Saccharomyces cerevisiae S288C: one gene and its partner. The gene in region 1 interacts genetically with each later gene. Each region holds a gene or a part of one and is shown in the gene's direction. Other genes may lie near its edges.

The links. Genes that interact genetically often act in the same process or in processes that back each other up.
Region 2: mutations in YKU80 (region 1) and TRM2 impair growth when combined (synthetic growth defect), as found in Saccharomyces cerevisiae (2 studies listed by BioGRID, with this or other methods).

What each region holds. Positions count from the first base shown.
Region 1 is NC_001145.3:474,915-482,127, reverse strand, and holds YKU80 (ATP-dependent DNA helicase YKU80), read left to right. Parts: upstream 1-1,937; coding exon 1,938-3,827; downstream 3,828-7,213. Other genes in the region: YMR106W-A (uncharacterized protein), read right to left, coding at 941-1,204; YMR105W-A (uncharacterized protein), read right to left, coding at 3,870-4,064; phosphoglucomutase PGM2, read left to right, coding at 4,522-6,231; putative protein kinase YPK2, read left to right, coding at 6,675-7,213. UniProt on the Saccharomyces cerevisiae protein: Single-stranded DNA-dependent ATP-dependent helicase. Involved in non-homologous end joining (NHEJ) DNA double strand break repair. DNA-binding is sequence-independent but has a high affinity to nicks in double-stranded DNA and to the ends of duplex DNA.
Region 2 is NC_001143.9:547,835-551,867, forward strand, and holds TRM2 (tRNA (uracil(54)-C(5))-methyltransferase), read left to right. Parts: upstream 1-1,613; coding exon 1,614-3,533; downstream 3,534-4,033. Other genes in the region: DYN1 (dynein heavy chain), read right to left, coding at 1-91; Rho family GTPase RHO4, read left to right, coding at 382-1,257; 40S ribosomal protein eS21 RPS21A, read left to right, coding at 3,823-3,846. UniProt on the Saccharomyces cerevisiae protein: Catalyzes the formation of 5-methyl-uridine at position 54 (m5U54) in all tRNA. May also have a role in tRNA stabilization or maturation.

The sequences.
Region 1 (7,213 bases):
GGTGATTTTTTTTTCTTGTTCGTACTTCCTTCTGAGCAGAAAGTAAAAAGCCCAGAATGCGACAAAGACATACTCCGGCTGACAATAACGCAAGTGCTGTCACATAAGACTCCTTATATATGACAGTTTGCTGTATTTGTACAGTTGGACCGTCTTCATTACAACAATATTTATTGAACAGTAGCTTGTAATAGGCCGGCATTTTTTTGGTTAATAACAATGCCAGATAACCGCGAAGATTTATAATGGTTTATCGGTTGCATTTTCCATGAGTATAGAAACTATTATAGCGACCTCATTCTCCGGTCATTTAAATTTCCAAGGATCTTAGAGTCCACAAAGGACACAAATAATTTTACATAATAACGATATTACCTCTTTTTCCATTTTATGCGTTGTCGTTCACTATCCTGTTACATTATCAATCTTCGCATTTTAGCTTTTACCACATCCGATAGCCGTTTCTCAATATTATGCCATCTTCCTACACCATATAAGATAATATACCAGTAATATTGATACCAGTGAATGGATGATAGTTGATTGTTATTCCAACAAATAAAATCACAATCATTATCACCATTGCAATGAAACTCCATTTATCATCTATTTAGTAGTATTCATGTTTCTAGTATATAATCATATGCGGTGTAAGAAAATGACATAAAGTTTGAGAAACAGTCATCAAATCTAATGAAAGCTGAAATGCGAAGATTGATAACGTAATAGGATAATAAACGACAACGTATAAAACGAAAGAAGATAAAGTAATTTTTATTATATAGATTTATCGACTCCCTTTTGTGGATTCCAAGATCCTCGAGGAGAACTTCTAGTATATACTGTATACCTACATTATAGCTTTTGTTGACAATGGAGTCCCAACAATTATTACAATATTCACTTATTTCTCACATCATTATGAAGTGACTCCCCTCGGTTAAACGTTAGCGTGTTCTTCATTGCCTGTGGATGAGGATGAGCGCCGGTGCAAACTTTCAAGTTTTTCGAGAGCGTCTTCAAACTTAGCTACCACATTGTTGTCTACATCAACAAAAGTATGGTTCCATACTAAACTACCATCTTCTTTATTGCCGCTTAATTGTAACACGTCTACATTACCAGAATGATGAACTCCGCCTGTCAGATAGTCGTGCTTTGGTGCGGTCTTGATAAAATTGTTGATTGCTTCCATCGATATCATGATTCAGCCTAGGATTTGTGGGTTGCTTTGATTGATTGGAAATGATCGACTATGAGACCTTGAACCAGTTTAATTTTAAAATAAATATTTTTGTTGAACTAGTTCAGCAACCGAAATCCAGAAAAAAAGTTCTAGAAGAATAGTTTTATTAACTTTGAGAAAGTAAAAGCTGAGATAAAAAACCAGCTCAACATATAAGAATACAAGCTGACGGTAAATAACAATAAGTAGCCTTGTTGGCGCAATCGGTAGCGCGTATGACTCTTAATCATAAGGTTAGGGGTTCGAGCCCCCTACAGGGCTTCTTTTTTTGAAGATTCAAGTAAATATGCTGCATACATAATTCTCATTCAAAATATATACACTTAAGACATCTGGCCTTTTCTAGTTAATCTATATATTTAGTTCTTATAATAGATGAATGTACCGTCAACCAAAGATTAGCAGTTGGAGGGCGTTAAAAACAATTTACCATTGCCAGGATTCGACAACACTATTGTAACGTATTTCTGTTTCTGGTCTTGGAGTAATGTTTGTAGTCTATTAGCGGAAGTACCTTTTTACAGTGTCGACACAATTTGACTATTTTTTCAACTAGATTACCGCATGTCCGTCAGGGCATTTGTTGTCATGCAAAAAAATGAATAAAAAAAAAGGGCATCATCAAGAGAAGAAAACCTAATTAACGAGAGTGCAGGACATATGCACAAATAATATATCTCACACCATAATAATGTCAAGTGAGTCAACAACTTTCATCGTGGATGTTTCACCATCAATGATGAAAAATAATAATGTTTCCAAATCTATGGCATATCTAGAGTACACTCTATTAAACAAATCTAAAAAAAGTAGAAAAACAGATTGGATAAGCTGTTATCTCGCTAATTGTCCCGTATCTGAGAATTCCCAGGAAATACCAAATGTGTTCCAAATACAATCCTTTTTGGCTCCTGTTACCACGACGGCCACCATTGGGTTTATAAAACGCCTGAAACAATATTGTGATCAGCACAGTCATGATAGTTCGAATGAAGGCTTACAATCAATGATTCAATGTCTGTTGGTCGTCTCATTAGATATTAAACAACAATTTCAAGCAAGAAAAATTCTAAAACAAATTGTTGTATTTACAGACAATTTAGATGATCTGGATATTACTGATGAAGAAATAGACCTGCTAACGGAAGAATTAAGCACAAGAATCATTTTGATTGATTGCGGTAAAGACACTCAAGAGGAGAGGAAAAAATCGAACTGGTTAAAGTTGGTCGAAGCGATACCGAATTCAAGAATCTACAATATGAATGAACTTCTTGTTGAAATCACTTCCCCAGCAACATCTGTCGTTAAGCCAGTAAGAGTATTCTCAGGCGAGCTTAGGTTAGGGGCAGATATATTATCAACACAAACATCGAATCCTAGCGGCAGCATGCAAGATGAAAATTGCTTATGTATCAAGGTAGAGGCTTTTCCTGCTACGAAAGCAGTTTCAGGCTTAAATAGGAAAACCGCTGTTGAGGTGGAAGACTCCCAGAAGAAAGAAAGGTATGTGGGGGTCAAATCCATAATCGAATATGAAATTCACAACGAAGGAAATAAGAAAAATGTCAGTGAAGATGACCAGTCTGGATCGTCATACATTCCCGTGACCATCTCCAAAGACTCTGTAACGAAGGCATACCGTTATGGTGCAGACTACGTAGTGCTACCGTCCGTTCTAGTCGATCAAACTGTATATGAATCTTTTCCAGGCTTGGATTTAAGAGGATTTTTGAATAGAGAAGCTCTTCCAAGGTACTTTTTGACGTCGGAATCCTCCTTCATTACCGCCGACACAAGACTTGGCTGTCAATCTGACTTAATGGCTTTCAGTGCTCTAGTGGATGTTATGCTAGAAAATAGAAAAATTGCTGTTGCAAGATATGTGAGCAAGAAAGACAGTGAAGTGAATATGTGTGCATTGTGTCCCGTTCTAATTGAGCACAGTAACATTAATTCCGAGAAGAAGTTTGTTAAGAGCCTTACCTTGTGTAGATTACCATTCGCGGAAGACGAGAGGGTAACTGATTTTCCAAAACTTCTGGATCGAACAACTACATCCGGGGTACCGCTGAAAAAGGAAACAGACGGGCATCAAATCGATGAGCTTATGGAACAATTTGTAGATTCAATGGATACAGATGAGCTACCAGAGATTCCGTTAGGCAACTACTATCAACCCATAGGCGAAGTAACAACAGACACCACTCTCCCACTTCCCTCTTTAAATAAAGACCAAGAGGAAAACAAAAAGGATCCTCTTAGAATACCCACGGTTTTTGTCTACAGGCAACAACAGGTGCTACTGGAATGGATTCACCAACTGATGATCAATGATTCCAGGGAATTTGAAATCCCAGAGCTTCCTGACTCATTGAAAAACAAAATAAGTCCTTACACGCACAAGAAATTTGATAGCACAAAATTGGTTGAAGTGCTCGGCATCAAGAAAGTAGACAAATTAAAACTCGACTCCGAACTAAAAACTGAGCTTGAGAGGGAAAAGATCCCGGACCTAGAAACGCTATTGAAGCGCGGTGAACAACACAGTAGGGGAAGTCCAAACAATAGCAATAATTAAAAAAGGTCTAACATCCTTTGAGTTATGTTTTCGTCACCACAGTTAAAGAGAAAAAAAAATAAATAGCGGGTAAATAATTGTCATACTACTGATTTGCATTGTTACCTTGTAACTTTGAACACTAGCCATGCAGGTTGCTTTTCCTCCTTTACACCTTCCCCCCTGTCGCTGTTCAAAAGTAAATGCAACAACAATAAAACGTGGGTAGAGGACGTTCCCTGTATGTACTAAAATCATACTATCATCCGTTGAGGTCGAGCGGTTCTCTAATCTCAACACACGCTGCTGCCCCTGAGCTTGCGAGCTAAGGACAACAGGGCCAACTTGTTCTTTCTAGGGGGGAGAGGCCCAACTTAGGCTCGGTGAAGAGAAGCGCGGAGCTCACGAAAAGGGGTGGTGTCGCGCACTACTTTTTTCGTGGGGAACTTACGTGAAAGGGGACGTTATACTTTTGTTATGTGCAGTTCCAGGAACAAACAGGGGTTGAAAAGTGTAAAAGAAATAGTTGATTCTTTCAGAATCTGGATGACTGCCGCCCGAACAATGTGGGAAATATAAAAAGGTACCGTTAATATTGTTTCATTTTCGAAGATAGTGTTCCATGTCTTTCTTCAGCGTTGCTTGAACAATAGGATAATAAGAAGAAGATCAACCAATCTTTCTCAGTAAAAAAAGTAACAAAAGTTAACATAACATGTCATTTCAAATTGAAACGGTTCCCACCAAACCATATGAAGACCAAAAGCCTGGTACCTCTGGTTTGCGTAAGAAGACAAAGGTGTTTAAAGACGAACCTAACTACACAGAAAATTTCATTCAATCGATCATGGAAGCTATTCCAGAGGGTTCTAAAGGTGCCACTCTTGTTGTCGGTGGTGATGGGCGTTACTACAATGATGTCATTCTTCATAAGATTGCCGCTATCGGTGCTGCCAACGGTATTAAAAAGTTAGTTATTGGCCAGCATGGTCTTCTGTCTACGCCAGCCGCTTCTCACATCATGAGAACCTACGAGGAAAAATGTACTGGTGGTATTATCTTAACCGCCTCACATAATCCAGGTGGTCCAGAAAATGACATGGGTATTAAGTATAACTTATCCAATGGGGGTCCTGCTCCTGAATCCGTCACAAATGCTATTTGGGAGATTTCCAAAAAGCTTACCAGCTATAAGATTATCAAAGACTTCCCAGAACTAGACTTGGGTACGATAGGCAAGAACAAGAAATACGGTCCATTACTCGTTGACATTATCGATATTACAAAAGATTATGTCAACTTCTTGAAGGAAATCTTCGATTTCGACTTAATCAAGAAATTCATCGATAATCAACGTTCTACTAAGAATTGGAAGTTACTGTTTGACAGTATGAACGGTGTAACTGGACCATACGGTAAGGCTATTTTCGTTGATGAATTTGGTTTACCGGCGGATGAGGTTTTACAAAACTGGCATCCTTCTCCGGATTTTGGTGGTATGCATCCAGATCCAAACTTAACTTATGCCAGTTCGTTAGTGAAAAGAGTAGATCGTGAAAAGATTGAGTTTGGTGCTGCATCCGATGGTGATGGTGATAGAAATATGATTTACGGTTACGGCCCATCTTTCGTTTCTCCAGGTGACTCCGTCGCAATTATTGCCGAATATGCAGCTGAAATCCCATATTTCGCCAAGCAAGGTATATATGGTCTGGCCCGTTCATTCCCTACCTCAGGAGCCATAGACCGTGTTGCCAAGGCCCATGGTCTAAACTGTTATGAGGTCCCAACTGGCTGGAAATTTTTCTGTGCTTTGTTCGACGCTAAAAAATTATCTATTTGTGGTGAAGAATCGTTTGGTACTGGTTCCAACCACGTAAGGGAAAAGGACGGTGTTTGGGCCATTATGGCGTGGTTGAACATCTTGGCCATTTACAACAAGCATCATCCGGAGAACGAAGCTTCTATTAAGACGATACAGAATGAATTCTGGGCAAAGTACGGCCGTACTTTCTTCACTCGTTATGATTTTGAAAAAGTTGAAACAGAAAAAGCTAACAAGATTGTCGATCAATTGAGAGCATATGTTACCAAATCGGGTGTTGTTAATTCCGCCTTCCCAGCCGATGAGTCTCTTAAGGTCACCGATTGTGGTGATTTTTCATACACAGATTTGGACGGTTCTGTTTCTGACCATCAAGGTTTATATGTCAAGCTTTCCAATGGTGCAAGATTCGTTCTAAGATTGTCAGGTACAGGTTCTTCAGGTGCTACCATTAGATTGTACATTGAAAAATACTGCGATGATAAATCACAATACCAAAAGACAGCTGAAGAATACTTGAAGCCAATTATTAACTCGGTCATCAAGTTCTTGAACTTTAAACAAGTTTTAGGAACTGAAGAACCAACGGTTCGTACTTAAAACGAATGATTTACTAATGGCTTAATGATTTTCACCTTTTTCAATGAATATTAACGGTAAAGAAGAAAATTTCAATTTTTTGAACACATACTTTATATACTTAATAGATCCATATTTCGACATATTAGCAAACGATTGCATAGGTTTCTGAGTCTTTTTTTTTTTTTTTTCATAAGGAGGAGAATATTTTGGTTAATCGCAGTATCTTCTTCATAAGTGCTGTTTCTAATTATATCTAATTCACGAATTTTTCCCAAATTAGCGTATCCCCGAATTCAGATTACCTACCCCGAGTTTTTTATTATATTTCCCTCGAGAAATCTGTAAAATGGCCGTCATCCTTAGATTTATAAATAAAATGATAAAATTCAGCCAAAGTGCTCCTAAACCAGAATTGTTCAACTGGGTCAAATTATCGCGTATACAAATATACATATAGTAACATGCATTCCTGGCGAATATCCAAGTTTAAGTTAGGAAGGTCCAAAGAAGATGATGGGAGTAGTGAAGATGAAAATGAAAAATCGTGGGGTAATGGCCTGTTTCATTTCCACCATGGAGAAAAACATCACGATGGTAGCCCGAAGAATCATAATCATGAACACGAACACCATATAAGAAAGATCAATACAAATGAGACTCTCCCAAGTTCCTTAAGTTCTCCAAAATTACGTAATGATGCATCCTTCAAGAATCCATCGGGGATAGGAAATGACAATTCTAAGGCTTCCGAAAGGAAAGCTAGTCAGTCGTCTACTGAGACGCAGGGACCGAGTTCGGAATCCGGACTAATGACAGTGAAGGTGTATTCTGGTAAAGATTTTACTCTTCCCTTCCCTATCACCTCTAACTCTACTATTTTACAAAAACTACTAAGTTCCGGCATCCTTACTTCATCATCCAATGACGCTTCCGAAGTTGCAGCCATAATGCGGCAGCTACCACGATACAAGAGAGTGGATCAAGATTCAGCAGGGGAAGG
Region 2 (4,033 bases), on another chromosome or scaffold:
CATTCTCTTTGGGAGAATTCTTTATACCCGTTACAGTAGCTGCAACAAATTCTATCAGCTCATTAGCAAGTCTTGCCTCATTCTTGCACATTGCCTAAAAAACGTTTTGACGTACTTTCCAATTTAAGCTCTGAACGAGTATTATTGCCCTTCTATGTTCTATGCTTTCTGTTAATTTTTATATGTAATGTTTGTTTACCTTTCATTAGCTTATTTATTAGAATCCGTACAATGCGACCTTCCGCGCATCAATTCGGGATGATCTGATTAAGTAGTTATAGCCTTACGTTAAGACGACAAAAGACATGATAAGCATCCCTCAAAAGTTACAGCAAACTTAAGTCAAATAGGTCCAAAAATCTCCAATAGTAACGCTTTTTCATGAATACACTATTATTTAAGCGAAAAGGTGGCAATTGTGGGAACGAAAGTAACATAGTTTCGCAGGGATCGCCCTCAAGTAGCAATCTTCCTGAATCACCTGGCACTTTAGATGAAAAGAATCTTCCCAGATTGCCTACTCCATTCGCTAGAAGCCTTTCTACCATTCCTAGTTATGAGCAGATGAAACGTACAAACAAACTGCCAGATTATCACCTAAAGATTGTTGTTGTGGGAGATGGCGCTGTAGGGAAGACGTGCCTGCTGATATCTTATGTCCAAGGAACATTTCCGACTGATTATATTCCTACTATTTTCGAAAATTATGTCACAAACATAGAAGGACCCAACGGTCAAATTATAGAATTGGCATTATGGGACACTGCCGGCCAAGAAGAGTATAGTAGACTTAGACCGCTTTCATATACGAATGCAGATGTGCTGATGGTGTGCTATTCTGTTGGTAGTAAGACATCGCTTAAAAATGTGGAAGATCTCTGGTTCCCAGAGGTTAAGCATTTTTGTCCTTCCACTCCAATCATGCTAGTCGGCCTTAAATCAGATCTATATGAAGCTGATAACCTTTCAGATCTGGTGGAACCAAGTTCAGCAGAATCCTTGGCCAAGCGTCTGGGGGCATTTGCACATATTCAATGCTCAGCACGATTGAAAGAAAATATCGATGAAGTATTTGAAACTGCCATACACACGTTACTTTCCGATTCATTATATGCTCCCAGAGAGCCTACACATACAATCAAAAATCCCTTTAAAAGAAATACCACCAGATCAGATATCGATTCTTCTACTGGAGATACCAGCGTCTCTATTTCCGGAACGAAAAGATTAAGAAAAAACAAGTGTATTATAATGTAAGAATAATGATGAAGATTATTCTGTTGCCCATTCTGTACGCACTTACAACATTTGAAAAGTGGCAAGAAAAAATACACACATTTTACTATCTTCCGCTATCTTATTTATCAAGACGAAACAATTAGAACCTGATTTAATTTAACTTCCATTTTTCTGAATCTGGTGTGATATACCGCTCCAATATATTCGAATTTATCCCAATTTTATCATAATAATTCATTTTAATTCGATGTCATAAAGTACTAATTCGATATTAATCTAGCCTAATTACATTAAATACTTAATAAAAGCTTCTGTGACATAAAAGTACAAATCTGTCATTTTATTTTAGAGGAATAGTTTAGGACAAAGTCATTATGTACGAACAGTTTGAATTTTCTTTTTTTTTCTTCGAAAATTCAGACAATAAGGTTAAATATAAAGCTCATCTCATCTCATCGATAAAACGCTGGAGTATTATCACATGCATGCGTTGCTTTTGGACCGTACAGAAGTCTATATTTAAAGCTAGGTTTTTCGCTTGCAGAAACTTTGTCAAGAAGCATAATTATAAACTAATCAGCACCATGACTGGAAGTACTGAAATGGTACCACCAACAATGAAACATACCGTTGACAACAAAAGGCTTTCGTCTCCTTTGACAGATTCTGGTAACCGCCGGACTAAGAAGCCAAAGTTGAGAAAGTACAAGGCCAAAAAGGTTGAAACAACTTCTCCGATGGGTGTCCTAGAATTTGAAGTGAACGATTTGTTAAAATCTCAAAATTTGTCCAGGGAGCAGGTTCTGAACGATGTTACTTCAATTCTAAATGATAAGTCCTCAACAGATGGACCTATCGTCTTACAATATCACCGAGAGGTAAAAAATGTCAAGGTCTTAGAAATTACTTCCAATGGCAACGGGTTGGCTTTGATCGATAATCCTGTTGAAACAGAAAAGAAGCAAGTTGTTATCATACCGTTTGGCCTGCCCGGTGATGTAGTTAATATCAAAGTCTTTAAGACCCACCCTTACTATGTCGAGAGTGATTTATTAGACGTAGTGGAAAAATCTCCAATGAGAAGAGATGATTTAATTAGGGATAAATATTTCGGGAAATCTTCAGGAAGTCAATTAGAGTTCTTAACTTACGATGACCAACTAGAATTGAAAAGAAAAACAATTATGAATGCCTACAAGTTCTTCGCACCAAGGTTAGTTGCTGAAAAACTTTTACCCCCATTTGACACCACCGTAGCTTCCCCTTTACAATTTGGCTACAGGACCAAAATTACGCCTCATTTCGATATGCCAAAAAGAAAACAAAAGGAACTATCAGTAAGGCCTCCTTTAGGATTTGGTCAAAAGGGTAGACCTCAATGGAGAAAAGATACTTTGGATATCGGCGGACATGGTTCGATATTAGATATCGATGAATGTGTGCTTGCAACTGAAGTTCTCAACAAAGGATTGACTAATGAAAGAAGAAAGTTTGAGCAAGAGTTTAAAAACTACAAAAAAGGCGCGACTATTTTACTGAGAGAGAATACCACTATTTTAGACCCTTCCAAACCAACTTTAGAACAGTTAACCGAAGAAGCCTCTAGGGATGAAAATGGTGATATAAGTTATGTCGAAGTCGAAGACAAAAAGAACAATGTCAGGCTGGCTAAAACTTGCGTTACCAATCCTAGACAAATTGTCACTGAATATGTTGATGGATATACTTTTAATTTTAGTGCGGGTGAGTTTTTTCAAAATAATAACTCTATCCTGCCAATAGTGACCAAGTATGTCCGTGATAACTTGCAAGCTCCCGCTAAAGGTGATGATAATAAAACAAAGTTTCTAGTAGATGCTTATTGTGGATCAGGTCTTTTCAGTATATGCAGCTCCAAGGGCGTAGATAAAGTGATTGGTGTAGAAATTTCCGCTGACAGTGTCTCTTTTGCAGAAAAAAATGCAAAGGCAAATGGTGTTGAAAACTGTAGATTCATCGTTGGAAAGGCTGAGAAACTCTTTGAGTCTATTGATACTCCAAGTGAAAACACTTCCGTTATCTTGGATCCACCACGCAAGGGCTGTGACGAATTATTCCTAAAGCAATTAGCCGCATATAATCCAGCCAAGATTATTTACATATCGTGTAATGTCCATTCCCAGGCACGTGATGTCGAGTACTTCCTCAAAGAAACAGAAAACGGTTCCGCCCACCAGATTGAAAGCATAAGAGGATTTGATTTCTTTCCACAAACGCACCACGTTGAGAGTGTGTGTATAATGAAGAGAATCTAATTGCACATATAAAATATCTATCACTATGTATATCTTTCTAGAGTAAATGTCTTCCTGTACTTTTAAATCCGTACATTTTGAAAATTGAAAATGTATCTCAGATTCATTTTTCAATTCGAAATGAACGAAAATTACACTAAAAAGGTAACGTGTAGAGTGATATTATGCACAACGATTTTTTGAAAATTTCATATACGTTATTCTAATGTTTAGTAGAGAGTTTAGCGGAAGATATAAGGTGATCAGGCGTAAATTAACCACATACAAACCATAGAAACATCATACCAAAATGGAAAACGATAAGGGCCAATTAGTATGTTCGAGAAATCTATAAGATTTTTTATATTTTAACGGATGAATGGAAAGTGCATGGCTGTTTAAATAAATGTAAGAAAGATATCATAATGCAAACAAAACGTAGGCATCCGCAATGTATGGAAAACATACTTATGGTTACCGATAATAAGCAACTCCGAAGGTGCCATAGACCAGCTCTGAAT